Linked DNA regions of Stegostoma tigrinum. The protein of the gene in region 1 interacts with the protein of each later gene in a pairwise test. Links are inferred from orthologs where the notes say so. Each region holds a gene or a part of one and is shown on either strand. Other genes may lie near its edges. The genes, in order: dmd and ctnnal1.

Region 1 (15,695 bases):
ACTTGTTCCATACATACACAACCCTCTGTGTGAAAACGTTACTCCTTAGGTCCCTTTTAAATCTTCCTCCTCTCAACTTGAACCTATGGCCTCGAAATTGGAACTAATCCATCCTGGGAAAAACACTTGGCTATTTACCCCATCCGTGCCTCTCAAGATTTTATAAACCTCTATAATGTCAGCCCTCAGCTCTGAAGCTCCAGGGAAGAAAGGTCCAACCTGTTCTCTAAACAAAAGCAAAACACTGCAAATGCCGGATAGTGCATATATAGCCACACCCTCATTTCCTACCCTTTTTCCTACCTACTAACCTCTTCCCCCACCCCCTTGACCTATCCGTCCTTCCTGGACTAACCTATCTCCTCCCTACCTCCCTACCTCCCTACCTACACTCACCTACACTGGCTCCATCACAGCCTCTTTGACCTGTCTGTCTCCTCTCCACCTATCTTCTCCTCTTTCCAACTCTACTCCGCCTCCCCCCTCTCCCTATTTATTTCAGAGCCCTCTTCCCTTCCCCCATTTCTGATGAAGGATCTAGACCTGAAATGTCACCTTTTCTGCTCCTAAAATGCCGGTTAGTAGTGATTTCATAAGAATGTCTCTTAAAATTACAATTGATATATTAGCTCTGATACATAACACAACATTTTCCGCTTTGTGACTTCACACTGTAATGTATTAAAGATGTGGAATTCAGTGAATTGGAACATAACTAGAGTGACCTTATACAACAACACAGCTGCACTGCAAAATGGGACTTTAATCTGGTGCAAACTAGTTAACGTTTCTTCCCAAACTGCACTCTGATCCAACACTACTTATACCACCAACAGCTCATTCGCCACCAGCCCAAAGTTAATGTTTCACATTCTTTTTCTTGTTGTGAGCCCAACCTCTTCACCTGCTTAATATCTGTAGGATTTTTCCAACGTTTCCAAATTCTGGTGAAAGGTGATTGAAATGTTAACTATCTCCAAATATGCTGCCTGAGCTGCTAAAATATTTCCAGTGTTGTCTGTTTTTACTGTGCTTCAGATTTCCAGTATTGACAGTGTTTTTCTTTGCTAAGTGTATGTTTGAATTTTGTTTCTAATCTCACATATGGAAAATATGAAATCAGTTAGGTCTGGGACACAGATAAAGGGTTCTCTGATACTTCAGAAATATGAACAATAGCAGTCTGAGTGATTAAACTCAGATGCACCCAGGAAGTTATTCCATATGCTGTACTGCTAACATGACATGTAAAATGTCTGTCGATTACATGACTAATGCACAACTACGATGACTACAGAATCAGATGTTCTCTCAATTGAAAATGCATGCGCTGAAATATAGAAAATGTAAGGACAGTCATTGAACGTGTTGGCTGGGTGAATGCACTCAAACTACGTGATCTGCCACCTACTGTCTTACCATAATCCCAGGTAGCATCTTGGTGATGAGGCAGATTTTTTTGGCAAGTCTGCCACTACAACTGAAAGAAGATGCAACCAAGTAAGTGATAAAATTATTCAAGAAAATGATTTGAAGAAGAATGCAGAATTCACTTTAATTTAATAAATACATATAAACTTTATGGTGCCTTTATATCTAATTGTATTAAATTAACATTTTGTGTGAAACAGGATGAAAGCATTATTGCCTAGGGCAAGGAAACCCTCATGATTCATGAATGACTATTTAACATTGCAGCCTATCAAGTGTCACAATCAATGCTTTGAGGATTTTTAAGATCGAGGTGATTATGAATAAGTTCAATTTGATTCAGTCAATTTTTGTCTTGTGAGAACAAAAATTCAATAGTTATGTTTCCAAAGCAAGCCTTGGATTTAAAACAATGCAAAGCAAAGTTTTTTTAACCTTTGCAGGGCCCTCTGTCCAATAGAAGCCTAAAAAGCAAATAACTGAATTTGAGACAAAATTTTACTCCTTGGCAGTTACATTTCAACTGCGTTATGTGGGAGGAATGCATTTGGTTCACCAGTTATAGTACCCAGATGTACACTTTGGCACTCAGGATATTGCTGCTGCAAACAGCAGTAGCTAGGTCAATGATAAAGCAAATGCACACTAATGGAGTTCAAAGGCAGACAATCTCACCTTTGTAGTTCAAATGAGTATTAAAGCAGTGCAACACTGAACTCACAGCCAAAATTATTTGACCTGAATTTGCAAATCTGCAGTGGCATTAATAAAATCAAAATAAGGATTCACATTGTGCAGCTAGAACATACTTATGTGATTAATCCTGGCTTAACAGCAAAGAGATATATTTTAAACAAAATGCTTGCCCCCTCCACCCCACTCCCCTCCCTGTAACTAGAATACCTTTAATAAATGGATATGTTACATAGAACCAAGGAAGTTAGTTTTATAATGATCGTCATTAAATAAAAAGTATGTCTCAAGTAGTTAACACTGAAGGGCATGACAAAAATATATCTGTCTCTTCGTACTTACCGGTGATGTGACAAATATATCATATTAATAATATCACACTATTGTGTATATGATAGAAACGTGTAACTTTGAGCAACATGACTGAGTTAAAAGCATGCATTTAATTATTGTTGGTTCCAATGTATCGATGTTGAAATTGAAATGCTTTGGCAGCAATCATAGCGCATTCCATATTGGAATCATTTTATATCTAGCATTATTACACTGAAACTTTCTCGAACTTGTATTTGTAAATATTTTTGAATTGTATTTTTCTTCCACAATATGTGTTGTATTGTGTAGTTCAAAAGCAAAAAGAAAGAAAATTCAGGCAGAATCTGACAACCACTTGTCAGCACACATGGATTTGACTGGTCAAATTTTCTGTGACACCCTATTGAGTCACTGTGTTCTCAGCCATGGTAAATGTGGTAACATTCTCATATCTGAGTCAGAAGGCTGTGTTTCAAATTTCACTCCAGAGACATGCACAAATGTCTACTATGGACGGAGTGCTGTGCTGTAGAATATAACAAATAATACTTCGCTTAACTTTAATTTGTAAATATTTCTGAGTTGCATTGTTTGTTGAAAATTAAGTTATTGAAACTTTCAGCACAATAATACCAAAGTGACATTATTCTGATATGGAATATGTTATTACTTCTGCCAAAGCATTTCAATTTCACCATCAATGCATTGGGAGACAATAATGAAATAAAAGTCTTTCACCCTACTGCCAGTCAGTTTTGATAATATGCCTGCAGCTCAAGATAAACATTCTCTCTGATTACAAAAAATTATACTGATCACAATAATAGCATCATGAAAGCGTCATTACCACCAGGGGAACAGTCTTATTTTTGTACATGACAGTCAATATTTGCTTATTATTATAGAATTGCTAAATATCAAATAAAATTGACTGATCCAATGGAGTTGCTTCAATGATTTTATATCTCTCTTCAAACTCTCCTTCTAAGTAAACTGATTTAATTGCATCAGAAATATATTTCAAATAAATAAACAGTTCTTGAGCAGTCCACTTAATCTAAAGAGATTTTATGTGTAATTTTACAACTGACTCATCACTATAGAATCTGTGTTTTACTTAAGTTGAACTTTTATTCCAAATAACTTTCTAACCATCCACCTGCTATCTCAAAGCAAGGAATATCTGAGCCCCAGGCTTTACTGTTGTTGTCAATATGGGACTGATAGTCCAAAGATGTGTACATGCGAAGAGATTAGAATTTGATGATTTTCATTTCCTTTTAGTTACTAAAGCAGAACAACTTTACCATTTTGTATCACTGTGCTTAAATTCTAATTTAGCTTTGAGCTAGGAATCCACCCCCAACCAAAACCTACTGCCATTTAACCTGGAGAGACTTTCTTTCTTATATTTTGGTAACCTTTTGGTTGGTGAGAAGGAATTAAAAACCATCCAAATCAATGAACTAGATTTTCCAAGCTTAATGCCAGGTTAAGTCTTTGTGGCTCTTCTCCAGTGTGGTTTTCCTTTAAATGTGTTCGGGATACTTCTGAGCTGTGTTTTTGCGCATAGATATTCCTGTATCCCACAAAATAACGATCACATTGGACTCCTGAATGAAATGTAAAACCAGTTTTTAATTGGTGACGGCCTAAAATAGTTTGCACAACTCTCTCAATTCCCGAAGAGCAGGTGGCTGTCTCCACCGAGCTGTCCCTAGCATAACTTCTAACATCAAAATAAAACATGACCTTTCCCTGCTCAAAGTTGAGACTGTTGTTTCCCCGAGATTTTCCCAGTAACTGGCACTGGGCTGCACACGTCAACAGAAGCGGCATTGCCAAATTCCAACACAGCCCTGTGGCTGTGGTTTTCCTTCAACAGCGCTTCATTCCGCGGGATAATGATCTATTCCCCAAAGGGTTTCCCAACACTCCAAGTGCTTTTCTCTTTGAGAACCCAGTTACACAGCAAATTCGGTATACGCCAAGGCGTGGGGCTTAGCGCCATTAGCTGCTTGAGTTGTCAAATTTGTACATGCATTTTATGACCGAGCTCCCTGAAACCCACTCGGGATGAAGTTGCGAATAACTGGATAAAACATGCAAAGTAACTGAACATGTGGCTGCAAGGGAAACTTTTAAAGTAAGCAAACTGTTGGCCCTCTTTTTAATCCAGAAATGCAACACTGGACCGCAAACGAGCTGCAATGTAATAAGGAGTTTACAACCAAGTACTCAGTTGATTTCAACCGACCAGATTTATTGGATATGCTGGAATTTGAGGGTGATCGACAGTTAATAACTGTCAGTTAGGCAACCCATATCTCACTTCCTGCACAGCACAGAGTTCTCCAAAGGGTTTCTATCACCAGTTCGGAACCCACAGTATCCAGACTTTCAACTGGACGCCCCTGGGAGGATGAGAAGCCACCAAGTGTGTCTCACACGGCCTTTGCTATCATTCATGGCCAGCAAACCTCAACCTTCCACTGCATTATTTGAGGGAAGAATCTGTACACTGCAGGTTTCCTTTCTCACACAAGCTCGTGTTGCCGACTTCGTTGCTTTACTTTAAGGCGGCCTTAGTCCCCCGGATTGGTCCATCTCTCCATCCGACACCAGAGAAGAAGCAGGTTCCGGGGACTGCCCTTCTGTTACAATGGGAGGAGCAACAGCAGCAACATACTACCCACTGGCGCCTATGTCCTTTGGACTCTGAAGTAACAAGGTGTAGAGCTGGATGAACACAGCAGGCCAAGCAGCATCTCAGGAGCAGGAAAGCTGACGTTTCGGTCCTAGACCCTTCTTCAGTCCTTTGGACTCTGACAGGCTGTCATTGCGGTATTTAAAGAGACACTACCGCAGTTCAACCCCCGCATTGTATCCCACCCCGACAATCACTTTATGAATATTTCCTCAGTGTTCTCCCTATGGACATCACTGGGAATACATACACGGTCCTACCGAACACACAGACACACACACACACTCACACACATTATTTTATGTCCAAAATGTTGACCTAGCGGGAAAGTTGTTGTTTTATCTTCTCTAGGTCCTGTCATGTTACCCTCACTCTGTCACCTAAGCCCGACTCCAGCTGTAACCATTCTCGGTGAGAGCTCCCGCTGTGAGTGAGCGGTCTCTGCCCATCTCAGAGGAGGGCAGCCCCAACAGGGTCTAACTCGGTGGGCTTCATCATTCCCGGTGCCAACTCTACTCTGCAGCTGCTCAGCCAAACACACACACACACACACACACACACACACAAACACGAGCAATGGTCTTTCCAAACCTCCGGCGCCAGAGCCTTACAGCCTCTGAAAGTTGGAGGTCTACTCTCAGTTTGCCAAACCTCAGCTGGGATCAGTACGGGGCACCGTCCTCTCCAGCCCGTCCTCTCTCCACTTACCCGTTCGAGTTTTGATGATCTCGTTAAACTCGTCTCCAGCCGAATCGTCTCTCGCACTCTCGGGACGCCCAGCTTCTGCCATCGGTCGATGTTGGAGCCTCAGCCTGTGCTCTGTCGGAAGCTGCGGGCAGCGAGATCTCCAGCGCCGCTGGCTTTCAAGCCAGTCTCCAACTCCGGCAGAGCTAGCGCTGTGTTGCAGGGCAGTTCAAGACGGGGCAGCTCCTCCTCAGGCACAGATCAGGGCTGTCACAACTTCTAACAGATACACATCAACAGGTGAGCCTCTCTGTCCCTCTCCCACCCCTCCCCAAATAAATCCACTCCATATATATCAATAATGTGGGGAAGCGGCCCAGCCCGTGTACAGAATCAGCCGGGGAAACCTGACACCCCCATAAATCAGGAAAGGCTACAGTCGGATTGCTCTCCTGACACTGACAGGCTCTCTGTCGGTCTTTAAAGGGACAGTGCCGTTCCCCACTCCCTCCGCCAACGCCATCGCCGCTACAAGTGTCTTCCCCTCGCAATCACTTTATTTCCTTCGTCAGACATTAATTGACAAAACCCTTGGAAAAGTTGGAGCAATAGTCGGTAACACAAATGACAATCTAATAGCAGCAAGCTAGAAGTGGGGTTACATCAAACTTTAAAGAAACCAAAAAGCCGAAAGAACGGCGAATGCTGCAAATCAGAAACGAACACAGAGGTGCTGTGCTGTGGAAGGGTCACCGGATCCGAAACGTTAATTCTGATCTCTCTCCACAGATGCTGCCAGACTTGCTCAGCTTTTCCAGCAACTTCTGGATTTGTTTTTAAAGAAACTAAACCTCCTTAGAAGTAATTTTAAATGACAATTATATTAAAGCAACGATTTAAGTTACAGAATCACAAAGACGTACAGCATGGGAACAAACCCTTCAGTCCAACCAGTCCATGCTAACCATAATCCCAAACTAAACTAGTCTCACCTGCCTGCTCCTGGCTGATGTCCCTCCAAACCTTTCCTGTTCACATATCCATCCAAATATCTTTTAAACGTTGTAATTGTACCTGCATCCAGGAAACTCATTCCACAGGCGAACCAGCCTCTGTCTAAATAATTTGCCTCATGTCCTTTTTAAATCTCGCTCCTCTCAATTTAAAAACATGCCCTCCCTTCTTAAAGTTCCCCAACAACTCTGTCTATATCTCTCATTATTTTATCAACTTCTATTAGGTCACCTTTCAATTTTGCTCTTTTATTTGCTGAATTCCTAGTTTCAGATCCGTTAACTTTGAAATTCTCATTCTGGTCCCCAATCTGCTACAAGCCTCAAGAGGATTCTCTGTTGCTCGAATTCTGGCCTGTTATTCAGCCCTCATATCTGCTATCCCATCATTAGTGATTCTGTCCCCAGCAATTGGGAGAACATTGATAAGAGCAGCAGGTCAAGCAAAGAAGCAGAGATGGCAAGCACCAAGGGTTTGCATAAGACAGCTTGCTTTTCAAACCATGATATAAAAGAATAGTTATTAACTAAGTTGCTGGAATGCAGCAGTTACAGAGTCATAGAGTCATGGAGTAATGTAACATAGAAACAGACCCTTTGGCCCTAACTGGTCCATGCTGACCATAGTGCCCACTCAGCTAGTTCCAATTGCCTGCATTTTGTCCGTATCCCTCTAAACCTTTCCAATCCACGTACCTATTCAAATGGTTCAAAATGTTGCTATTGTACCTGCCTCAGCCACTGTCTCAGGCAGCCCATTCCATATATGCACCACTCTGCATGAAGAAGTTGCCCCTCAGGCCCTTCTTAAATCTTTCCCCTCTCACCTTAATCCTGTGCCCTCTAATTTTCAATTCCTCATCCCTGGGAAGAAGATAATAAGCATTCATCCTATCTATGCCTCTCATGATTTTATACACCTCAGTAAGGTTACCCCTCATTCTCCCACACTCCAAGGAATAAAGTCTTCTCCTGGACAAGCTTTTCCTATAACTCAAGCCTAATAGTCGTGGCAACATCCTCGTAAATCTTCTTTGCACACTTTCCAGTTTAACTAAATCTTTCTTATAACAGGGTGACCAAAACTGTACGCAATACTCCACATGTAGCTTCACTGACAACTAATACAACTGTAACATAATGCCCCAACCCCTGTGCTCAATGCCTCAACCGATAAAGGCCAGCATGATAAATGCCTTCTTCCCCATCCTGTCTATCTGTGATGCTGCTTTTGACGAGCTATATACTTGTACTCCTAGGTCCCTCTGTTCTGCCACACTCCTCAGGACCTTACCATTTACTGTGTCAGTCTTAGAACATAGGACATGGAACGATACAGCACAAAACAGGCCCTTCGGCCCTCGATGTTGTGCCGACCTATGAACTAATCTAAACCCATCCACCTACGCTATCCCATCATCATCCATCTGCTTATCCAAGGACTGTTTAAATGCCCCCAATGTGGCTGAGTTAACTACATTAGCAGCCAGGGTTCCATGCCCTTACCACTCTCTGAATAAAGAAACTGCCTCTGACATCTGTCTTATATCTATCACCCCTCAATTTGTAGCTATGCCCCCTCATACAAGCTGATGTCATCGTCTTTGGAAAAAGACTCTCACTGTCCACCCTGTCTAATCCTCTGATCATCTTGTATGTCTCTATTAAATCCCCTCTTAGTCTCCTTCTCTCCAGTGAGAACAGACCCAACTCCCTCAGCCTTTCTTCCTAAGGCCTTCGCTCCAGACCAGGCAACATCCTGGTAAATCTCCTCTGCACCTTTTCCAGTGCTTACGTTGGTTTGGCGTTCCAAAGTGCAATAACCTCACAATTATATTTATTGAATTGCATTTGCCAGTCCTCAGCCAACTTTCCGAAATGATCAAGATCCCTCTGTAATTTTTGATGACCTTCCTCGCTATCAACAATACCTCCTAATTTTGTATCACCCATTGCTTTGTTTCAGTTGAATGTGAATATATTTATCACATGATAAGGAGTAGACGTTATTCCAATATAGGCATTTGGTTGCACACATGCTTATGATGTTTAGTTGTTGACAAAGTTCACTGCCTCTAAAACTAAACATATCTTGCATTACCAAAAGATGTAGAAACAGAAGTAGGCCATTCAGCCCATCGAATCTGTTCTGCCATTCAACAGGATTATGGCTGATTTGATAATCCTTAATTTCATTTTGCTTTGATCCCCTCACTGTTTGAAATTCTGTCTGTCTCAGACTTAGTGACACATTCTCAACAGCCATCTGTGGTGAAGAATTCCACAGATTCAGTACCTACTGAGAAAAGAAATTCCTCATCCTTCTCTTTTATATGCAGTCCCTTAATTTGAGACAGTTCTTTCTCATCCTAAACTCTTTCAACACGGGGAATCAACCTTTCTGTATTGACCTTGTCTTATCCCCTAGCCATCTTGTATATTTACATTGCATGAATATATACAACAGCTGTAGTTTGGCTAATCTGGTTGACTCTAAATTGCCCTCTGGGCAATTCAGGATGAGCAATAAATACTGCCTGGTCAGCGATGCCCTCATCTCTTTAAGAATAAAAGAAGTAAAGGAATCTGCCTATTTCTTGAACTTCTAGACTCATGCCTATTTCTGCATCAGGGTTGTTTAATGAGATTGAATGGAATGTTTGCTACTTTTCTAGATCTGAGGACGTTCTTGTAAATTTTCAGGCTGGATTTAATTAGGAAAAGAGAGGAAGAATTTTGAGGAGGGACAATCTCTCAGAATTACCCCCTTAATCTCATTATTGTCCTGATTTCTGTTCTCATGCAGAGGTATGCAATTGTTGCAAGTAGAATAGAATGCAATACAGCTCTTTCTTTGCTTTTACTTTTCAGTTTCCCGAAGTGAATCTGTGTAACATGCCATCAAATAGGACTCAAACATTTTAGCAGAGGTTATATCACACATTTGACCACAATTCAAGCACATTATAGATCCTATTATGAGGGGCATTCAGATAACAATTGTGGTAAAGCACCGATCATTGAATTGAAGCAAGCAGAGGTCCCAAAGGAAACTCTCAAATTTTTACATGGCTTTCACTTTCTTTTCTTGTGTAGTTAATAGACATTCTCCAGCACAGAATATTGAAAGGAATATTCCTTCAGACAACAGAACAGAAATTTCATTCCTGCCATTTACCTGTATTGTTTCACTTTCCCAATAGAAATTAAGAAGCGAAACAAATGGGTTCAGTATACATATCCTCCAATTGTGGGAGAATATAGAAAAGACACCTATTAGAATTACTATGAGGAACCAAGGAGGTAAGTTTTGGGAAAAAAAAGTTACATGAATTTCACCAATACATTTCTAGCACTTTGTTTCTCCTTAACTGAAAATAAATTTTTCTGATCTTGTAGAGTTAATGTTATGAGACTCAATGCCTTCTTAGATAACATTAACATTAACGCAAGGAGCAATTTTTTACACAGGGAGTGGTTTGTGTATGAAATGAACTTCCAAAGGAAGTGGTGGATGCAGGTACAGTTACAACATTTAAAAGATATTTCGATAAGTACATGAATAAGAAATGTTTGGAGGGATATGGGCTGAGTGCAGAAAGATGGGATAGTTTAGTTTGACATTATAGTCAGCATGGACAGGCTGGACCAAAGGGTCTGTTTCTGTGCTGTATGACTCTATGACTGTAAGTTGGATACTTTAGTTAGGACTTAAGCAGCAGAGGTCTATATAAACTCTAGTTTATGGAGAGTGAAGACAGGAGGTTGGCCTGGAATGCTTTGTAATGTCTAGTCAAGTCTATGGTAACATAGGCCTGGATGAAGATTTCAACAGCAGCTGAGCTGAGGAAGAAGCAGAGTAAAATGATACAATAGAAGGAATTTCAGCAATGGAGCAGATTCATAACCGTAAGTTCATCTTGAGCTCAAAAGTGACACTGCAGTTAAGATCAGACAGGTTCAACCTCTAATGGTTGCCAGGGAAACAGATGACATGGTTCACTAGAGAAGGAATCTTGTGGCAGGTTCTGTGCCTTTCACAGTCGACACGTCTTTTGCACAGGGAAGCTAAAGAGTGAAAAAGGTGACATCCTTCCAAACATACCTTCTATCCCATTCTCCAGTATCCCCTGTGTGGCCTGGAATATTCAGTACCATTAAAATTTAATGCCCTGGTGATTCTCAAAGCAATGCACAAGGTCAGATTATGCTGATGACATCCAGCTCCAACCCTCCAACATATCCCATGAACCTTCAGCTGTGTTTATATTGTTAAACTGCTTGCCTATCATCTAGTACCAAAGAAGTAGAAAGTTTTTACCTAATATATATGGGACATGGAATCAAGGGTAATCTAGATTAGATGGGAGTGTTGAATTTGAAACAGAAATGCATGAGCTATAAACTGTTGAATGATGGATCAGACTAGAGTGGATGAACAGCTCCTATTCTGTATGTTTAGTATGTACTGTAAAGGCCATTGTCCCTATCTGCTGCCAGAAAATATATTCTCTTGCGAACAACTTCATCTATTTCCCTGGCAGCCATCAGATGTTGAACCTGTCTGATCTCGACTTTGGTGTCACTTTTGAACCCAAGATGAACTTTTAGTTACATATCTGCATCATCGCTAAAACACATTGTATTTTGCTCCTTCCTCAGCTCAGCTGTTGTTGAAATCTTAATCCAGGCCTATATTATCATAGAATTGGCTATCTCAAAGCAGTCCTGGCAGAACTCCCATCTTCATCCTTCATTAATTGTTGTTTATCTAACCTCTGCTGCTTAAATCCTAACTCAAGTGTAATCTCATTTACAGACTTGTCAACTGAATCAGAAGGGCAAATTATCACTTACAGTCATAGAGCTGTACAGCATAGAAACAGACCCTTCAGTCCAATCTGTCCATGCCAACCAAATATCCTCAATTAATTTAGTCCCATTTCCCAGCATTTGGCCCATATCCTTCTAAACCCTTCTTATTCATGTACCTGTCCAGATGCTTCTTAAAAGTTGCAATTGGACCAGCCTCCACCACTTAGTCTGCCACATGCCTACAACCTTATGCATGAAAAAGCTGTAACTTAAGTCCCTTTTAAATCTTTCCCCTCTTACACTTAAACCTATGCTTCCTAGTTATGGACTTCCCTAGCTGGTAGAAAAGACCATGGCTGTTCACCCTATCGATGCCCCTCATGATTTTATAAATCTCTATAAGGTCACCCCTCACCCTCCGAAACTCCAGGGAAAATAGTCCCAGCCTATTCAGCCTCTCCCCATAGTTCAAACCCTCCAACACCGGCAACATTCTTGTAAATGTTTTTCTAAACCCTTTCAAGTTTCACAACATCCTATAGCAGAGAGATGGGAATTGCACATAATATTCAAAAACTCACCTAACCAATGCCCAGTACAGCTGCAACATGATCTTCCAACTCCTATATTTAATGTGCTGACCAATAAAGGCAAGTGGAAGAAACACCTTCTTCACTATCCTGCCTACCTGCGACTCTGCTTTCAAGGAACTATGAACTTGCACTCCAAGGTCTCTTTGTTCATCAACAGTCCCCACACCTTACCATTAAGTGTATAAGTCCTGTCGTGATATGCCTCTCCAAATTGCAACACCTCACATTGATCTAAATTGATCTCAATCTGCCATTCCTCAGCCCATCACCCCATTTGATGAAGGTGCTGTTGTTATATGAGGTATCCTTCTCTGCTGTCAACTACACTACCAATTTTGGTGTCACCTTCAAACTTACTAACCATACCTCCTATGTTCACATCTAAGTCATTTATATAAATGCGAAAGGCAGTGAACATAGAGCTTAGCCTTACAGCCCGCTGGTCACAGGCTGCCAGACTGAAAAACTTATATTGTGTAGGAAACAAAACATGCTCAAGCATTTTGAAGGATGGAAGACGTTCGGTAACTTAACAAGAATTGAACAAGAAAAAGGAGAGGAGAACTCTGGCAAAATTGGATCATACATTTCAAACAAACTTTTGAAGATGGTAGAAATGAAGCAAGGCAAGCAGGATTCAGGCAATATATCCAGGGAGCAGCTCTCCGATTGTTGAAGATTCTGTTACGAATGATCGAGCAAGAAATCCTGGGGCAGTTTAACAGATGCCTTCAGCTGATCCCTGGTGTAGATGGGTGAAGCAGCACAGGAGCAATGAGATTGTAAGAGAATCAGCTCTCTATTAGATGTAGTAGAAATGATAAGTTGGTTAATGAACATTTTGCTTTGTTAGGTGTGCCTTTAAAATATGTGGACATGTAAATACAAGGCTATAGTTAGCAGCATTAAATCAGCAGCATTTCTGGAATAGGCATGGTGCAGTCTCTCAGGGTGCATCTAATTCCTTCTGACACCACTTTACCAGTTCTAACTATCCTCTCAATCCAGGTTCCACCTTAGCCACAAGACACAAAGGCCAGTTTCCCAAACAATAGTAGTATTGGGTAAAGCTGCAGCAAATGACTCTCACTCCTGTTTAAAACTGAAGGTTACTCAACTCCATAGATACAGAATAAACCCGTACAAGTTATCCCATTGGAGACTAATCACAGTTAAAAGGAAACTCAAATGTTCATTCGATGACTGAAACTATCATATGTCATGAGTTAAGTTAAGACTTTTAATGTATCACATAAACTAGAAACAGCATTGAATGAACACTATTTAATTTGGCAACATAAAGTTTAAACTACAGAAAAGATCTGCTGTTTAATTTTTGCAATGAGCAAATATCTCCCAGTATTGGTTATATTTTACTCCATGCATTAAATGGACACTATACTCCCCGGTTCACAGTGCTAGTGAGCTCCTAACAGCTTGCTTCCTTTATTTTTCTTCACCCCAGTCTAGCTTTCTCTACCAGAACTAAGTTACACATTTAGGTATGAATTGGAGATGCTCCTCTCTTGCTAAAGCAAAAATAATCTGCCAACCTTTTTAATCTCTCAGAAACATGGTGTCTTCTAGCAATCCGAGCATGAACTCCCAGCCACTTTCTGCATTGTGAACATTAGAGCGTGGTCTCTCTCTCTCTCTCACACACACACACACACACACACATTTTGCAGTTTGACCATGTCTGTGATGTTTAGTGATATACAGGAAAACTCTGCGATCGAAACCAGATTTCCTGTGAACGTATCCTAATTCAAAGCCCATTTTAATGAATCACATGAGCCTTCTGTCCAAGGAGAAATACTCCAACTACATCCAACCACATGCCTTTTTCAATCAATCTGTTCAGTGTTGCCATCACACACCTTTAGACCAAATGGGACTTGAACTTGAGCCTCCCAGTCCAGAGGTAGGGACACAACTACTATGCCACACAAACCCCATACTAAATTCTAAATAAGTGGACATTTTAGAGTATAAGCATTTCCAAAACATAACATTCTTCTGACACCTGGCTAGGACCCAGAGACCTGTGTCCATGCACCATCAAAACAGCTGTTCAGGTCATTCTTTTCATGTATGAATATTTTGTATCTTCTTCCCAGTAAAACAACTTGGACACCCTTTACCAAAGCACCGCCCAGACCTATTGTCAGTAAAATTTACAACAGGTAGTATGACACTTTCCATTTCTCCATTTTGTGGCAAATTTAAGACTGCATCCCAAAATGTAGCAATCTTATAAACTTTTAATTTGTGTCCATATCTGCCAGTGAGATGGAGCAAAGTGAAACACAAAGCTCGGATCAATGCCACACAGTACAAATAAAATTATGATAGTAAACAGTATACGCACCCGATGATTATAAATTGTTGTTCTTTAGTTTTTTCGGTGAGGTACGCTGCAAGGTGTAGGGAAAGCTTTCAGGTACATGTCATGAGTGACAGCTTTGTGAGTTGCAATGCACTTTCAAAGTCATCACCTTAAAATGAGGGTAACATGAAAGAGGCTTGCAAGGTGAGTAATATCCTCTACACGTAGGTTCTGGCATTGTGCAGAATCTTAAAATGCTGATTAGAAAATTATGTGTCACACATTTCCTAACATTCACTGTGTATTTTTTTTCTGGTAAGCTTCACATTGTGAGGGCTATCAAAAATTGACCTTGCATGCTTTTATTTAGAAGTAGCTTTGAATTCACCCTCTCTGTTCTCTCAGGTTACTTTTTATCTGTATTGAACTGAAGTTGGCAAATTGCCCATAAAGATACACCACAGCACAAAAGGCACCTTATTTGTACAATGTAATGGAACGGGTTATACCAACTGATACAAATATGGGTAGGGGATGAGGCTGAGAAATTCAACTTCAGCAAAGATTGAAAATGTGTAGTAGCAGATCATCTGGCCTGTTTTACACCTCACCTGGCTTTGCTTTCCAGTGATTATTTGAATTTCACCATCATGGCATTGAGACAAAGAGGTAGAAGATTCAATGTATTTGTGCAGTTCTACATCAATCCTATTTTGAATACGCAAGGAGAGTTTTCCATTAGAGTGGAACATTAGAGATCCAAACTAACAGCTGGGCATTCCCTGCATAGCTTCCTAAGTTATATCGATGGGGTAAACCCATATGTATCACTCCTTCCACGCTATACTGACAGAGCTATACTGACCAGACACTGCTGCTAAACTCTAAGCCACTTCTTCCCTTCGCATCTAACTGAATCACAAAGACATGCTACAATGGCTTCCAAGGTGTTTTCATATCATGATTGCCATGTTTGTTTTTAAAACCAGACATTCAATCAAGATATTAAACTGATAATGTAACTGACATTTGAAGGGAAAACTTGGCTCTATGCCCTATGTATTTTACCTTGGATCTCTAAGTTAATATCCTGTTCTCTGGAATACCACCCTGAA
Region 2 (15,915 bases), on another chromosome or scaffold:
CCAGCCGCACAGCATTGGTCAATCAGGTGGACCTAGCCCTTTTGTGGAATTCTTTCCTTTTAACAGTTTCCAGGTTTTTGGTCATTTTCCATATAGGGAGTGAAGGGACAGAAAACTTTCAATGTTTGCGAGCTTACATTGCACTCTCAGGCCTGTGACAAAAGCGCGGCTGGAAAAGCCTGAAACCTGTCATCAAGCTGTTTTCCTTAACTCTGAGACAGTCTCAAAGTACACATCTCACTACATCACAAACCTTGCATAGCTAAAGGGGACACCAACAATCCTACATGACATTCATTGCCAAATAGCTGAAAGGAGAGTTTTTTGTAATGTCCAACTTCTGTTTTTCAGTTTATAGTCCATAAAGGAGATATATGTAGCTTAAGTAAGGAATTATCAGCAAGTCTAATACAAATTAAGAGTTAAAATGTGCTCTAACATTTCATGGCTAACTATTAAGGTTCGTAGTTCAGAATATTCCAAAATCTCTGCCTCTAGCTGGAAGTTGTGAACTTTGTCAGATGGTTTAAAATATCCTCTATCCTTTGGAAGTTTACATATCCTGGACAATTACTGCATCATCAGTGCATCAGGTCACTCAAGTAGCCCAGATGCATATCTTTCAAGCCAAATTCAACCCTTGACTATCCAAAGAACAGAAGATCCAGGCCACAAAAAGCAATCAAGTAAATATTATTAAACCTTGACGGGTCTGAGTATAATCTTCTCAATAAGCAACTGCAGTTTTAGGGTTGCTATGGTTGGAACCAACACATTTTTCTACTTAAGAAATAGGGGTGCAAACAGAAACAAATGTAGAATTGCAGATGAATTAAAATTGACTCCAGTGGTTATGCATGGAACTGTACAGGGTGAATACGGTCACACTGTATATTTTCACAGTACACTTCATGTTTCAGTTACTGCATTTATTCTACCTGCAAGGTGTTGTTCCAGTAAAGTGATATTACCTGATAAAGAGCTCCACAGATTGAAGAATTGTTCATGTAGCTTTCTACTATGGAAATCTGGGACTGATACTAAACAAAAGGGAGCTGCTGCAGTAATCTTTTGTCACTGTTACCATCAGCTAGTCATAAATGCAAAACTTGTTTAGTACCAGGCTAATCTTAGCTCCATGGACAACCATCAATTCAGTCACAATTCTCCAATTAAACTTGATGCAACAATACTAAATCTGGAGAAAGATGAGCTTAATCAGTTTGGCAGAATAGACATTTTTTAAATGTCAATGTTCAGTGAGATTTAGCAGCACTCACAGCGGAAATGCAGAAAGTTGGTAGCAGATGCACAAGACAATTAGGAAGATTCATGACATGTTGACCTTTAGTACAAAGGGATTAGCATGAGGGAGTAAAATAGTCTTGCTACAATTATATTTTGAGAGCATTCCTGAGTACCATATACAGCTCTGGTTTTGATATCCAGGATGGAGACATTTGCTGGGGGAAGTACATTGGAATAAATCTTGTGAAATCTTCAATGACAGGATTGGCCCATGATGAGAGATTGAGTACACTGGGTCTAGTCCCCAGAGTTTCCACAAGAAATAGTAAGAAGAAATTATTCGGCCACTCAGACCTGGTCTAACTTTCGGTGCAATTATGGACCAGACCAAACCGCTTTAAATATATCAAGGAGATAGCCTAGACCCCAACTTTTATCTTGTTTAAAAGGCAAGTCTAAGGTGCTGTATTCCAGATGTAATTGGATTGGTTACACTACTCGAATTAAAAAAAACTCTACATTCTTACCCTCATTTAAAATACAAACAAAAGAAATAAGAATTGCTATAACTTTAACTCAATTGGAAAACTCAGCAAAATAATGGATTATTTAACTACTAAACACATTGAACTCGGCCTCATATACATTCCACCATGGAGGAAACCCGGAAGTGAGGCAATCCATCGCAACGGACCCCAGAATTTGCAAACCAGGCAGGAAAACACACCGACACTTCAACAGCGGCTGCACTGAGGATGGTACCAAGCATGGTAAAGAAACATCTGCAGAACAACAAACCAGCTCAGCCAGCCAACCAACCTCAACACATTTAAGCACAATATAATAATAGTGAGCCACATTACTGAGCAAAGAAGGTAGCAATTTTGACCCAAAGCTGTCTATGCTGGTACTTTTCAAAGTGCTATCCGGTTATTCTATCCCTTTGCTTTTCTGTGATAGTCTTGGAAATTTTGTCAGAATATACAGCTAATTATCTTTTGAAAGTTACAGCTACTGTGTGTGCTTTTGCCACCTTTTCAGGTTATGAATTCCAGATCATAACAACACGCAGCACAACCCAATCCTCATTCCCCCAAGATTAATGTGTATATGTAGAGTACTCTCTCGAGCGTAACAGTTTATATCAAGGACTTTATTCTGGAATAAGTGTAGATTTAAATTTAAATTGTATTAGATCAGTATTCAACACTGTGACTGACCAGCCTATTGCACTCAATTTGAGTAACACTTTCAGAATTTTGATTTTTGTGTCCTCTAGGTATGTGTAAATACTCTTGGATATGCATTGAAGCGGGAAGAAAAGCCAGAGAGTTATTTTTAACACATTTGAAATTCCTGATTTGAAACTGATTCCAAAGTAACTTTCAAAAATAAGTTAGAGGGGAGTGGAATCAAACAGCAATAATGCGCAATGTATGAATGCAGGCATCTGTAAAGTCTTGTGCTACCAATCCATATTGAAGCACATAGTCTTGTTGCTGTTTGAATGAAAGCCCTTTGAAAATAATCCTGTCAAACTGATAATCAAATGTAAAAATTGTCACCAAGTACACTTCAGGAATTGCTAGCAGTGTTGATGCACGAAGAACCATCATGGCAATATTCAATGTTTCTAGGCAACATTGGCATCTGTTTGTCATTTTCAACACTAAGGCATAATGAGTACATCACAACACAAATCTCATCATCATGTCTCATTGTACATCTTAAAACGCAGCAAGATATCCTGCAGTAGCTACAAATTTTAGTAGCACTCAAAGTACTGTATATCATCTCAGTATTGCTCCAGGTACTAGCATTAATAAGTCTTCAGGATGGACCAAGGGCTATGTGATGGAAGACTCAAGTCAAGTTCTGTAATTATGTGGAAAATAAATGCAGACACCCATTTTTAATAACGAGAAAAATGAGTGTGTTTTCATGTTACAACTATAAATGCTGCTTGTTCAAACATACATTTTATAATCACATTTCAATAGTACAATACAAAGAGTACTCAGTGCAAACTTGAGTGATTGAGCACAGGGGCAATTGCTTTCTACCAATGGTCGTATTGGCTGAAATAAAATTGCATTTAAGCAATGGACCAAAGGAAAAGAATTGAAGCTCCTCAAAAGGCCAAGCTCTCAACGCCACAACACAATATAAACTCTAAGTTCTAAATATCTGCTTTTTCTCAATGACCTCTCTACTCTTCCCTTTCAATTCTGACATAAATGTTCCTTCAATGTACAAGAAAATAGTAAGTCAGAAACTTTCATAGAAATTGCCAAATATTCATATTCCACTGAAATTTAACTCAAATTTTAAAAAATTATTTGTGCATCTTTTGCAGGCATTTTCTGTCCCAACAAACCAGAATTTGCTGTACCACAGCACATATAAAGTAACTGCCAAACATGAATTTTGTTCTTAAACATGTGAGTTTTTAAAAATGTGCATAGCCAGTTACTGGAAGTATGATCTGACAATACTTCAGCAGAGTATCTGGGACCTGGCTCAAACTGTAAGCAGCTGCACATCATATTACCCAGTCAGAATGGAAGATTATGAAATTCACAGTGCAAAGACTGAGAAGCACGTACAGGTTAGAATGGGGAAATTCATATTGGGTGCAGTAGAAGAAATTTTCATTGTTGAAGAAAATGTAAAACTTATAAAAAGAGAAGTAAAAATGGACAGAGGTAGGAACACAAAAAAGGAACAGTGCAAGCTGTTTTAAGTTTTACATTTTCTTCAACAAGGAAAATCTGAATGAATGAAACTCACACTTGAAATAGCCCATTTTCATTGCTAGAGAAGTTGATTGATCATGGTTAACACATCATAAGTAGGTACGGAGGCTAAAATGGTCAAGACAACTTTCTCTGCTTAGTTGATTCTAAAATCTACAGGAGAGTGAGAATTTTGTGCTATCTGACACAGTTCAATGATGAGCCAGATAATGAGATGAACAGTGCAGCAACAGCACCCCAGTAGCAACTTTCAAATGTCCATGTTCCATTGTGCCTGAAGTCACTGTAATATGTGTACATCAATAACACTGAAAGCCATTAGCTTAGCAGTAGCATTTTTCAGAAAGCTTAATTTGTGACAGGAAATGAATATTTACATCCATTGCAAATGTGATGTTTAGACAATACTGTAGTACAATGTTCACATTCATGGAAAATGTCATGAATCCATTTTGCTTGGTCCACTTTCTCATGTGTTGCTCAGAACATCTATTGAACTGCATTTTCAACGATTTAAACAACATCAATAAAATTAATCTTACAAGAACAAATTAAATCAGAATTCAAAAATCTATCAAAGCATATGGTTTAATCTGATATATAGGAGAAAATTTGGTGATCTTAAGAGGTTTCTTTCAATAACCCAAGTTCTCTTTCTTTGCCTAATTATATACACATAACAGCGGGATTATGCGATTTGCTGGTGAAAAGGACAACTAAGACAAAGGTGTCATAAAAAGCTTAAACTGCAAAACAAACATTATGAGCACATGCTTCAATTTAAAGCATCTGCCGGTAGAAAAGTGGCCAGAGCTCGATAAAGCTCAGCCTTGCAGAGTTGTGCTGGTTGATTTAACAGAGTGATGTGAGCGAAAAACCATCAGCGGATCACGAGTGGACATTCAGCAAGTTCCCAATACACATTTGTGGACGTTGCATTATTTGTCATGACGAAGTTGTGTTCGGTTTGGAAGTTAAACGGGAAACAATACGTCCCTGTTCTCCGGTGAAAGTCAGTGTTGCTCTCTCCGAAAGCTACTGAGTTTGAACTTTCCAGTAAAACACTGGCTCCATTCTGTGAACTGCATGCCTCTGTACTTTTTCCTGTATGTCTACATGTCCCTGTGGGGCGGCAGTACATTCGCGTGTGGCCTCTCACCGGCTGCAATGTGCTGTCAGAACGGTTCCCTCCGGATAAAATAACCACTCCATCCTCTCCTGCTACATGGAGTGGAGGTCTTTAACAGAGCTGCACGTTAGCTTTGAGCACGGTACAATGGGAAAAGGGGGCTGCCAGCACAGGGCACTTTAATCCATCACCTCTCCTAACAGTGCGGGAATGAGTTTGTTGAGTAGTTATACCCACCTGAAAACACTAAAATCCCAACCGTTGAAGATGCCAAGGGATTAATTTTATACATCACCCATGCTTCTGAGGGTCCCAGGACTTCTATATTCACGTAGCTCTGGGAGCCACTCAGTTCGTTTAATGTGGGTCTCTCCGCATGCTTTCGGGGAGTCTCAGATCTTTTACAATCTCATTGATATACCTTCGGTGGAGGGGGCTGGGGGTCAGAAGTCCCTCTCTTTTTACTTGAAGGGGGTGTCGGAGAGATGCCCCTGCTCCCCTACCCCTATGTGGCGACCCGGAATCTGCTCATTTACCCGGAGGGGTCTCCTGCCTAGCTTTCATTCTGCGTTGCCCTGAGATCCCCCTGCCTCTCACTCACTCAGTCCAGCGCTTCTCTCGCCCTCCCTTTTCCAGCACACATACCTGAGTCACCAGGGGGATGAGGGTCTGCTCCACCGACCTGGTTTTGATCTCCAGTCCGGGATCGGTGTTGCAGTGGGAAGAAGCCATGATACCGCTGAGTCCGCTGGTACGGCTGCAGATGCAGAGCCGATCTCGTTCTCTCCCTCTCCCTCTCCGAGTGACTGAGAGGCGGGAGAGAGGGAGTTGCGTCTCTTTCCGGCTGTAGGAGGAGCTCTGGAAAGTGTTGAGAGGGGATGGGGGAGGTAACAGTGTTGGGATTTGAGTTTTCATTGGTGCTCTGACTGTGGTACATACGGTTTTCTCGTTAAAACGTGGTTTCAAAACAGCAAATGCCATTGAGTTCATTGGCGAGCTGCAGTGTGGTGCTCAGAGGAAGGGAAGCAGCGGCGGCGGCCACTGCTGGTGACCCTAGCAGCCCCAGGCACACAGCATCGCTCCAGAGCCATGCCCCGCACCCTTCTTCTCAACTTTAACACCAACTCCGGGGTCATATTCACAAAACATGCAGCCTCAGGCTGGTTACTGCACTCTGCTGCTGGGTTCCTGAGAAAGGTTACTCGCAAAATCAATCGGAAACCAATTTCCCTTACACTTCTTGCCAAAGATAGGTAACTGCAAAAAAAACTCAATCTTTTTTTGGTGGAGGTGGTTTTAGCTTAAATCTGTTTCCGTTTGTATTTTTGATTTGCAGACGTGTTTAGCAACACAGCTGCCCTCACTGTCTGTGCTCAGGTTGGTCTAACCACTTTGCCATTTGTCTTTTTTTCTTGAAGTATGTTTTACTGTACTTCAATCCCACATAAACGGGATCTGGTCTTGTTAAATTTTGAAGATTTGCAGTGATAATCTTATCCTTTTGCTCCCTGACGGGAAACAGGCATTTGATAAGGTTCCCCATGGTAGGCTCATTCAGAAGGTCAGGAGGGATGGGATACAGGGGAATTTAGCTGTCTGCATACAGAATTGGCTGGCCAACAGAAGGCAGCGAGTGGTAGTAGAAGGAAAACATTCTGCCTGGAAGTCAGTGGTGAGTGGGGTTCCACAGGGCTCTGACCTTGGGCCTCTACTGTTTGTAATTTTTATTAATGATTTGGATGAGGGGATTGAAGGATGGGTCAGCAAGTTTGCAGACGACACAAAGGTCGGAGGTGTCGTTGACAGTATAGAGGGCTGTTGTAGGCTGCAGTGGGACATTGACAGGATGCAGAGATGGGCTGAGAGGTGGCAGATGGAGTTCAACGTGGATAAACGCGAGGTGATGCATTTTGGAAGGTTGACTTTGAAAGCTGAGTACAGGATTAAGGATAGGATTCTTGGCAGTGTGGAGAAACAGAGGGATCTTGGTGTGCAGATACATAGATCCCTTAAAATGGCCACACAAGTGGACAGGGTTGTTTAGAAAGCATATTGTGTTTTGGCTTTCATTAACAGGGGGATTGAGTTTAAGAGTCGTGAGATCTTGTTGCAGCTCTATAAAACTTTGGTTAGACCGCACTTGGAATACTGCGTCCAGTTCTGTTCGCCCTATTATAGGAAAGATGTGGATGCTTTGGAGAGGGTTCAGAGGAGGTTTACCAGGCTGCTGCCTGGACTGGAGGGCTTATCTTATGAAGAGAGGTTGACTGAGCTTGGTCTCTTTTCATTGGAGAAAAGGAGGAGGAGAGGGGACCTAATTGAGGTATGCAAGATAATGAGAGGCATAGATAGAGTTGATAGCCAGAGACTATTTCCCAGGGCAGAAATGGCTAGCACGAGGGGTCATAGTTTTAAGCTGGTTGGAGGAAAGTATAGAGGGGATGTCAGAGGCGGGTTCTTTACACAGAGAGTTGTGAGAGCATGGAATGCGTTGCCAGCAGCAGTTGTGGAAGCAAGGTCATTGGGGACATTTAAGAGACTGCTGGACATGCATGTGGTCACAGAAATTGGGGGTGCATACATGAGGATCAATGGTCGGCACAACATTGTGGGCTGAAGGGCCTGTTCTATGCTGTACTGTTCTATGTTCTATAACTACAAGACTTTGTCGGCCAACAAGGCTCAGAACTGTGGTGGGAGCATTGGTTTAAAAGATACTGGTTTAAATGAATTGCGGAAGCTCGAAATCTTAAGCAATAACAGAAATTGCTGGAAAAGCTCGGCAAGCTATGGAGAGACAAGATGATCAGAGGATTAGATAGGGTGGACAGTGAGAGTCTTTTTCCGAGAATGATGACTTCAGCTTGTACAAGGGGCACAGCTACAAATTGAGGGGTGACAGATTTAAGACAGATGTCAGAGGCAGGTTCCTTACTCAGAGAGTGGTAAGGGCATGGAACGCCCTGCCTGCCAATGTAGTTAACTCAGCCACTTTAGGGGCATTTAAACAGTCCTTGGATAAGCATATGGATAATGATGGGATAGTGTAGGGGGAGGGGCTTAGATTAGTTCACAGGTCGGCACAACATTGAGGGCCAAAGGGCCTGTTCTGTGCTGTATTGTTCTATGTTCTAGAAAGCAGGGCCAACGCTTGGAGACACCAGTGACTCTTCAACAGAACTGAACTTTGCTTTCTCTCCACAGATGCCACCAGATCTGCTGAGTTTCTCCAGCAATTTCTGTTATATTTTAAATTATGGTTGTTGTACCCAGTCATAAGTATTTGAAAATTTTGATATCACTGCAAAATATAGTACAGAAGTGATGTTTATGTCTGTCTTCTTGGAATAATTTAACCAATACACTCACAGATCCCAGATAACAAAGTGTAGAGCTGGATGAACACAGCAGGCCAAGCAGCATCTTAGGAGCACAAAAGCTGACGTTTCGGGCCGAGACCCGGATTCAATTCTAAGTGATCAAATTTGAGAGTAATAGCAAACTAACAAAAGCATTATTCAGTCTGAGAAGGTGGTCTGGAAACTAGAAAATAAGTTGAACAAAGGTGAAAGTGTGGAGAACAGTGCTGCACATTTTTTTGAAAAAGCACCAAAAGAAACTATTCCATGAAGTGTGAGAATGACTAAGATGAAGCAGAAGGGAGGTTTCATTGGAAGATCACAGACCTGAAATGTTAATTGTGTACCCCAATCTTCACAGATGCTGTCAAATGTGTCCAATATTTCTGGAATTTTCTGTGATTTTAGATTTCCAGCATCCATATTACTTTGCCATTGCCAAAAGAGAGCCATTTTTTAAAATAGATTCAGCACTCACTACTATAACAGCAACACAAATATGCCATTCCGCACCTCTAGATTCTTCAAACATTCCAGTAGGTTGCAGTTAATTTATATCTCATTTTTATTTATAAAATTTGATCTACGTCCCTTGATACCCTTGCCTAATGAAAATCTGTTAATCTCAGTATTAATGCAGTTAATTACAATTCAAAATTGATCTGATTACACTTACTTCTGTGGCTATTTTGAGCATAAGAATTCCACATTTTCAACTAGACTTTGCGATCACTCTTGCATCATTTACTTTCAGTTTTATCCATAAAATGCCTATGTCACTGTCAAGTCTGACAATAGTTTTGGTGGGGACATAACGGCAAACCATCTTCTTGAATGTTACTGGATGGTTTATGAAGCCATTTTAAAGGCCAGTCCATAGTCACTGCTTTTGCTGTGTGTCTGAAGCCATAAATAGACCAGACAGGAAAAAGGTGGCAGATTTTCTTCTTTTTTTCTTTTCTTCTTTTAATGACACTCATGAACAAATACATTTTTATAACGCTCTTGTAGGTTTATGGTCCCCATTATTGATACAAGCAATTATTTAATTGAATTTAAATTCTCTAGCCATGATGGCATTTTAACTTGTATTTCTGGATTGTCACTCTGTTTCTCTGGATCAGAGGTTTACTAACATGACCGCTCTGTAATGAATCTACAAATGTTGCTCCTTGTCTGAATTCCTTCAACAGACAATATTATTCCTTGGCACTTACCTCTGCATTATCTCAGCGGGAAATGGCCTGGTGGTATTATTGGTGGACTGTTTATATAAAGGCCCAGTAATGTTCTGGGGACTCGGCAGATGGTGGAATTTGGACTCAATAAATATCGAAATTAAGTGTCTAATGTTGAGCATGAATTAATTGTCAGAAAAACCCATCTGATTCACTAATGTCCTTTAGGGAAGGAAACTGCCATCCTTACCTGGTCTGGCCTACATGTGATTCCAGATCCACAGCAGTGATTATTTCTTGGCTGCCCTCTGGATAATTAGGGATGGGCAATAAGTGCTGGCCTGGCCAGGGATTCCCTCATCCTGTGAATGAGTGAAAAAAAATTAATGTTTTTAGGATGTCAAATACTTTCAGTTAGATTACCACCCAAATTTGTGTTGACAAGGGAATGCATGTGACGTTATTGGATGCTGTTGCTGAGGCCAGATCATTGTTGTGCTCAAAATCAAATGCTACATGTCAAATGGGAATAAGTATGAGCAACTTTTAGCCATAGAGTGCCGTTAGAAGCAATTCCAAGAAGGATCATTTGTCTCATTTTTGGAAGAAAATTAATCTTAGGAAGAACAGTTGGACAAGTTGTGATCATCTCCATTGGAGTTTGGATGAATAAGAGGTGATCTTCTGAAACACAAAACATCCTGGGGGAATTGATAGACTGAATACCAGAAGGATTACACTTAAACTTGTGGGGAAACTAGAATTAGGGGAGTCAGTTTAAAAATAAGACCAAGATGAGGAGAAATGTTAGTCTTTCAAAGGGTCATTGATCTTTGGAATTCTCTTCCCCAGAAAGTGGTGAAGGCTCAGTCATCAAATTTATTCAAAGGGAAATTAATTAGGTTAGATGTTTTCGGGTGATGGGGGAAGATAGAAAGGTGAAGTTGAGAACACAGCTAGATCATCCAAATGATTGAATTGCTTACTCTGGCTCGTAAGCCCTATGTTCAAAGTTCCATTGACTGTAAACATATTTAAATGTTCAAAAGCATTTCACAGGACCATCATACATTTGACACTGAGCAACATAAAGAAGAATGAGGGCAGAAAACCAAAAGCTTAGTCAAAGAGCTAGTTTTCAAAGAGTGTCCTAAAGGAAGAAAATGAGCAAGATAAACAGAGAGCCTCAGGGAAGACATCTCAAATATTGGACTTTGATAGTAGAAGGCACAACTGTGTGACCTGGATGTCCTGCTCTTTATAGTCTAGACAGTGACAATAAAGGTCATTCATCCAGACTGAGCAGGCCCAGAAGATGCTAACTGACAGCAGAATCATATCGTCAAAGAGGCCTTTTGGCCCATTGCGTCTGCACTAACAAAAACTACTTTAACGCTATAGGAGATCCACTGGTGTCGAAGTATGGAAAATGCAGGGTGAATTTATGAGAGCAATGAAAGGGCAGGACAAAATGTTGGCAGACAAGATTAGGGAGACTCCCAAGATATTCTACAAATATATCATGGGAAAGAAGATAACCAGGGAATGAGTAGGGTCCTTTAGGGACCAAGGGTCAAACCGCGTGTGGAGCTGGAGGGCATTGGTAGCATGTTAAATGAGTTCTTCACATTTCTCTTTACTCAGATGATGGAAAATGCAAGTACAGAATTTTCAAAGATGGACTATGAAGTTATTGAGCAGATTGATATCAGAATCGATGAGCTATTGGAGATTTCAGCGGTGTTAAAAGTGGTCTATGGGAGTTATATCCCAGTTGTCTCCCAGAGCAGCCTGGGATACAAGGGGGAAAATTAAAGGAACCCTGGCCCAAATTGTAAAACCATCTCTACCACTGGGGAGATGCCAGAGGACTGGAGGATAGCTAATGCAATTTAACTTTACAGGAAGGAAGTGGAGATAGGTAAGAGAACTATAGGTAATGGATCTACTATCAGTGGAAAATCTTGGAGAAAATACTGTAGGACAAAATTAATATCCATATAGAGACATAAGATTTGACCGTAGACAGTCAGCATGGCTTTGTCAGAGAGAGATCATGTCCAACAAATCTGGCAGAATTTTTTTGAGGAGGTGATCATGCATGTAACTGAGAGTATAGCAATGAAGATTGATAGAGGTCTATGAGATTATGAGGGGCATGACCAAAATGGATAGAAATTGGCTTCTCCCCTTATTCAAAGGGTCAATAGAAAGGGGACACAAATTTCAAATGAAAAGCAGGAGGTTTAGGAAGAACTGGGGGAAAACCTTTATCAGTCAGGGGGTGGCAGGGTCTGGAATGCACAACTTGGGAGGGTAGTCAAGGAGGAAAACGTCACAATGTTTTGAAAAAGTGCTGAGATGAGCACCTTAAGTATCATAACATTCAAGGCTGTGGGCCTTGTGTGATTAGTGTAAGAAGTGGTGTATGTTTGTCAGTACAGACTTGATAGGCCAAAGGACTTCATCTGTGCTGTATGATTCTATGATTCTAAATACTCATTCAAGTACTTTTTAAAGGTTGTGAGGTTTCCTGCCTCAACTACCAGTAAGTCCATTCCAGGTTCCCACTACTCTCTGGGTGAATAAATGTTTTCTTTTACTCCCCTCTAAACCTTCTGTCTTTTATCTTAAAATTATGTCCCCTCGTTATTGACCCTTCAATCGCCTGTCATCCTCTCTAAGCCCTCACTCTGTTATAAAGAAAACAACCTGACCCGCAACATCAGCCTTCCTGCTCCTCTGATGCTGCCTGACCAGCTGTGTTCCTCCAGCTCCACACTGTGTTATCTCTGACTCCAGCATCTGCAGCTCTTGCTGTCTCTAAAAGATCAGTTATAAATTTGGCGACCTTCCCCAACTTCACAGCTACTTCCCATTCAGCGTTTGTCACTTATAAATATTTTGAAGAATTTTGTATTGTAGAAGCTGCTTCAGGAATGCATTTTTTTGGAAGTTAAAAGTAAATCTTTTAACTGTTCAGTGCAGTATACAATTTAGCCTTTTCTAAACAGTCTGAAGTACTCCAGCTGTTTAGTGTGCAGTGCCACAGTAACACAGAATTATAACTAAAAAGAAACTTGTGGTTTTCAGAATATTTGTGGTGTCAGTACAAAGTGGGATTAAAAATTTGGAAAGAAGACATGAGGATGTCAAAGGGAGAAACCACAGCAGATGAAAAGATGACCTGGCAGTTAAGTAGCAGCTGTAAGTAAACAAGCAGAATGTGTGTGCATCAATGGCATGGACAGAGTTCACTTTAAGCATCACTCTAGTGAATGGGTAGTTACCAATGAGTGAAATTAATAACTAAGCACATGTTTTCTAAAGTGACAATGTTTTCCAGCAACCACATATATATTCCACATATAAATTCTAGGTAAAAGTGAGAACGCATTTTTCCCTTGTTACCTCCAGTTCCTCACATTTTGATCAACAGTAAAACAACATGCCACAGGTAGAATAACTAAATTATAATACTATACTTGTGATGTTATTCAAATGGACCAACTCATTTATAATATTTTCTGTATAATGAAAAGTTGAGGATAAAGTTGTCATAGTCCTACAGGACCACAGGGTTGCTCTCTCTTACAGAGAGTTGACTAGAGTCAAAAAGTAATACAGCATGGAAACAAGTCCTTCAGCCCAAACTGGTCCATGCTGATCAAGGTGCCCACTCAGCTAGTTCCAATTGCCCGCATTTGGTCCATACCCCTCCAGAACCTTCCCATCCATGTACCTATCCAAATCTTTTTTTTAAATGTTGTTATTGTATCTGCCTCAACCACTTGCTCTGGCAGCCATTCCACATGAGCACCACTCTCTGCATGAAGAAGTTGCCCCTCAGATCCTTCTTAAATCTTTCCCCTCTCACCTTAAACCTATTCCCTGTAGTTTTCAACTCCCATCCATAGGAAAAATACAATGTGTATTCATCCTATATATGCCGCTCATGATTTTATATACCTCAATATAGTCATCTCTCATTCTCCTACATTCCAATGAATAAAGTCCTACCCTGGCCAACTTCTCCATACAACTCAGGCATACTATTCCTGGCAAAATCCTCATAAATCATCTTTGCACACTTTCCAGTCCAAATTTGTGTGACCAAAATTGTACACAATACTCCAATTGCAGCCTCAGAAATGACTTACACAGTTGTAACATAATGTCCCAACTCCCATACTCCATGCTTCAACCAATGGAGGCCAGCATGCTAAATGCCTTCTTCACCACCCTGTCCACCTGTGATGCTGATTTCAATGAACTATGTACTTGTACTCCTAGATCACTCTGTTCCATAACATTCCTCAGGACCTTACCATTTACTGTATAAGTCCTACCTCGGTTTGACTCCTCAGTGCAACTCCTCACACTCATCTGTATTAAATTGCATTTGCAAATCCTCACTCCAATTCCCCATCTGACCAAGGTCCTCCTGTAATTCTTGATAACTTTCCTTGCTATCAATGATACCACCACTAGTGCTGGTTTAACCCAGGGCCGCCACACCTCAGGTAAGGGGAGAGGTTGAGTTGAAGCCTCCTTCATGGTAACCTCAGCCAATGCAGAAATTGAATCACCATTTTTGTCTAAAGACACGGCTGTGACATTAGTTTTAATTTTCCAAACTGTGCAAATTTAAATTTGGTTGGAAAATAGTGAATGTAACTACTTTATTCAAAAAGAGGGAGAATGAGAAAAAGCAGAAAACTACATTCAGTGAGATTTACATTCTGTCTTAGAGATGATATTAAAAACCTATGATTAAAGAAGTTATAGCAGGGCACTTAGAGAAGTTTGAGGTAATCTGGTAGAGTCAACCTTGTTTGGTGAAAGGGAAGCCATGTTTTACCAAATTATTGAAGTTTTTGAGACAGTAATATGTGCTGGAGATAAAGAGGAACTAGTAGATGTATTGTACTTAGATTTTTAGAAGGTATTTAATAAAATGTCACTTCAAAGAACATTGAGGAAAATAAAAGCTCATGGTGTAGGGGGTAACAACATCCCTCAGTTCTGAGGAAGGATCACCGGACCCGACACATTAACTCTGTTTTCTCCTCCACGGATGCTGCCAGACCTGCTGAGCTTTTCCAGCAACTTTGTTTTTGTAACATAGTTTACTGGGTAGAAGATCAGCTAGGAAATAGGCAGCATAAATTGCTTTCTGGTTGACAAGATATAATGTGTGATTATGAGCAAGTTTAGTTCTGGTGTCCTAACTTTTTATTATTCATATTAATGACATAACCCTCTTTCCCATGACTCCATGTTTGACTCAATTCTTTCCAGTTTCAACACCTGAGCTAAAACTGCAATTATCCATGTTAAAATCACAAATTCTGTCCTGTTTCTTTAAGCTGGGTACACTTTTCTTCCTCATCATTCTTGTCCTTCCTTCAGCTATTGACATGGTGGACCAGATCCTCCCTCATAGTTAGGCTGACCTATTGAGCTGCCCTAAATTGATTCCACCTTATAATGACAGAGAATTTCTACTGGTGGTGTAGAACACCTGAGACGTGAGAGAAGTGAGTAACATGCAGAGATTGAAAGTACCTGTGCCCATTGGTAGTCAAGTTTATGATACATTTGAAGGTTGACTAGCTCAGTTAACTGGATGACTGGCTTGTGATGCAGATTGATCAAAATCATGGATTCAATTCCTCTGCTGGCTGGAGTTACCATTAAAGTCCCATTTTGTCAACTCTACCTTTTGCCTGAGGCAAGGTGACCCTAAGGTTAAGCTCAATACTGTTTGTTTGTCTCTAATGAAAGATTCGCTCTGTCGCAATTCATGACATTCTAGTCAGTGCACATGAGTGACTGTACTTTAAGAGGGATATGTTCTATGCTGTTGCTCTTACAGAGAGGTATTGTCATAGTGGTGATAAAATGTCTGCTTCAGATAGACAGTTGGTAAAAGTTTGGAGTTAAACCTTCATGTTTTGTTTTAAAATTAGACAAAAGGAGCATGAGTGGGCAGGGTCAGGCTCACACAACCAAGGGATTTGGGCTTTGCTTTCAGTTTGATTTTCACTTAGTTGAAAATTTCTGCTGGCTGCTGAGCTAAAAGTTTGAGCTCTCAGCTGGAATGAAGTCTCAGATAGTGAGGCTTCCTCTTAAAAATCAAATAAAGCAGATTGTTTCTTTCTTCTGGATTGGAAGTGGACAGTGCATAAGAATCATAGCTGTTTTGCTGAATTGCATTTTTTGACGAAGGATGTGCTTATGGG

What was found.
Region 2: the proteins of dmd (region 1) and ctnnal1 interact in binary tests that used the Homo sapiens proteins (3 or more experiments, as listed by UniProt). The two-hybrid records come from large-scale screens. The link is inferred for Stegostoma tigrinum from reciprocal best matches to the Homo sapiens genes DMD and CTNNAL1.

Annotation. Positions count from the first base shown.
Region 1 is NC_081365.1:58,608,800-58,624,494, forward strand, and holds the start of dmd (dystrophin), read right to left. Parts: upstream 6,091-15,695; 5' UTR 5,937-6,090; coding exon 5,855-5,936; intron 1-5,854. UniProt on the Homo sapiens protein: Anchors the extracellular matrix to the cytoskeleton via F-actin. Ligand for dystroglycan.
Region 2 is NC_081355.1:106,359,468-106,375,382, reverse strand, and holds the start of ctnnal1 (alpha-catulin), read right to left. Parts: upstream 5,970-15,915; 5' UTR 5,866-5,969; coding exon 5,779-5,865; intron 1-5,778. UniProt on the Homo sapiens protein: May modulate the Rho pathway signaling by providing a scaffold for the Lbc Rho guanine nucleotide exchange factor (ARHGEF1).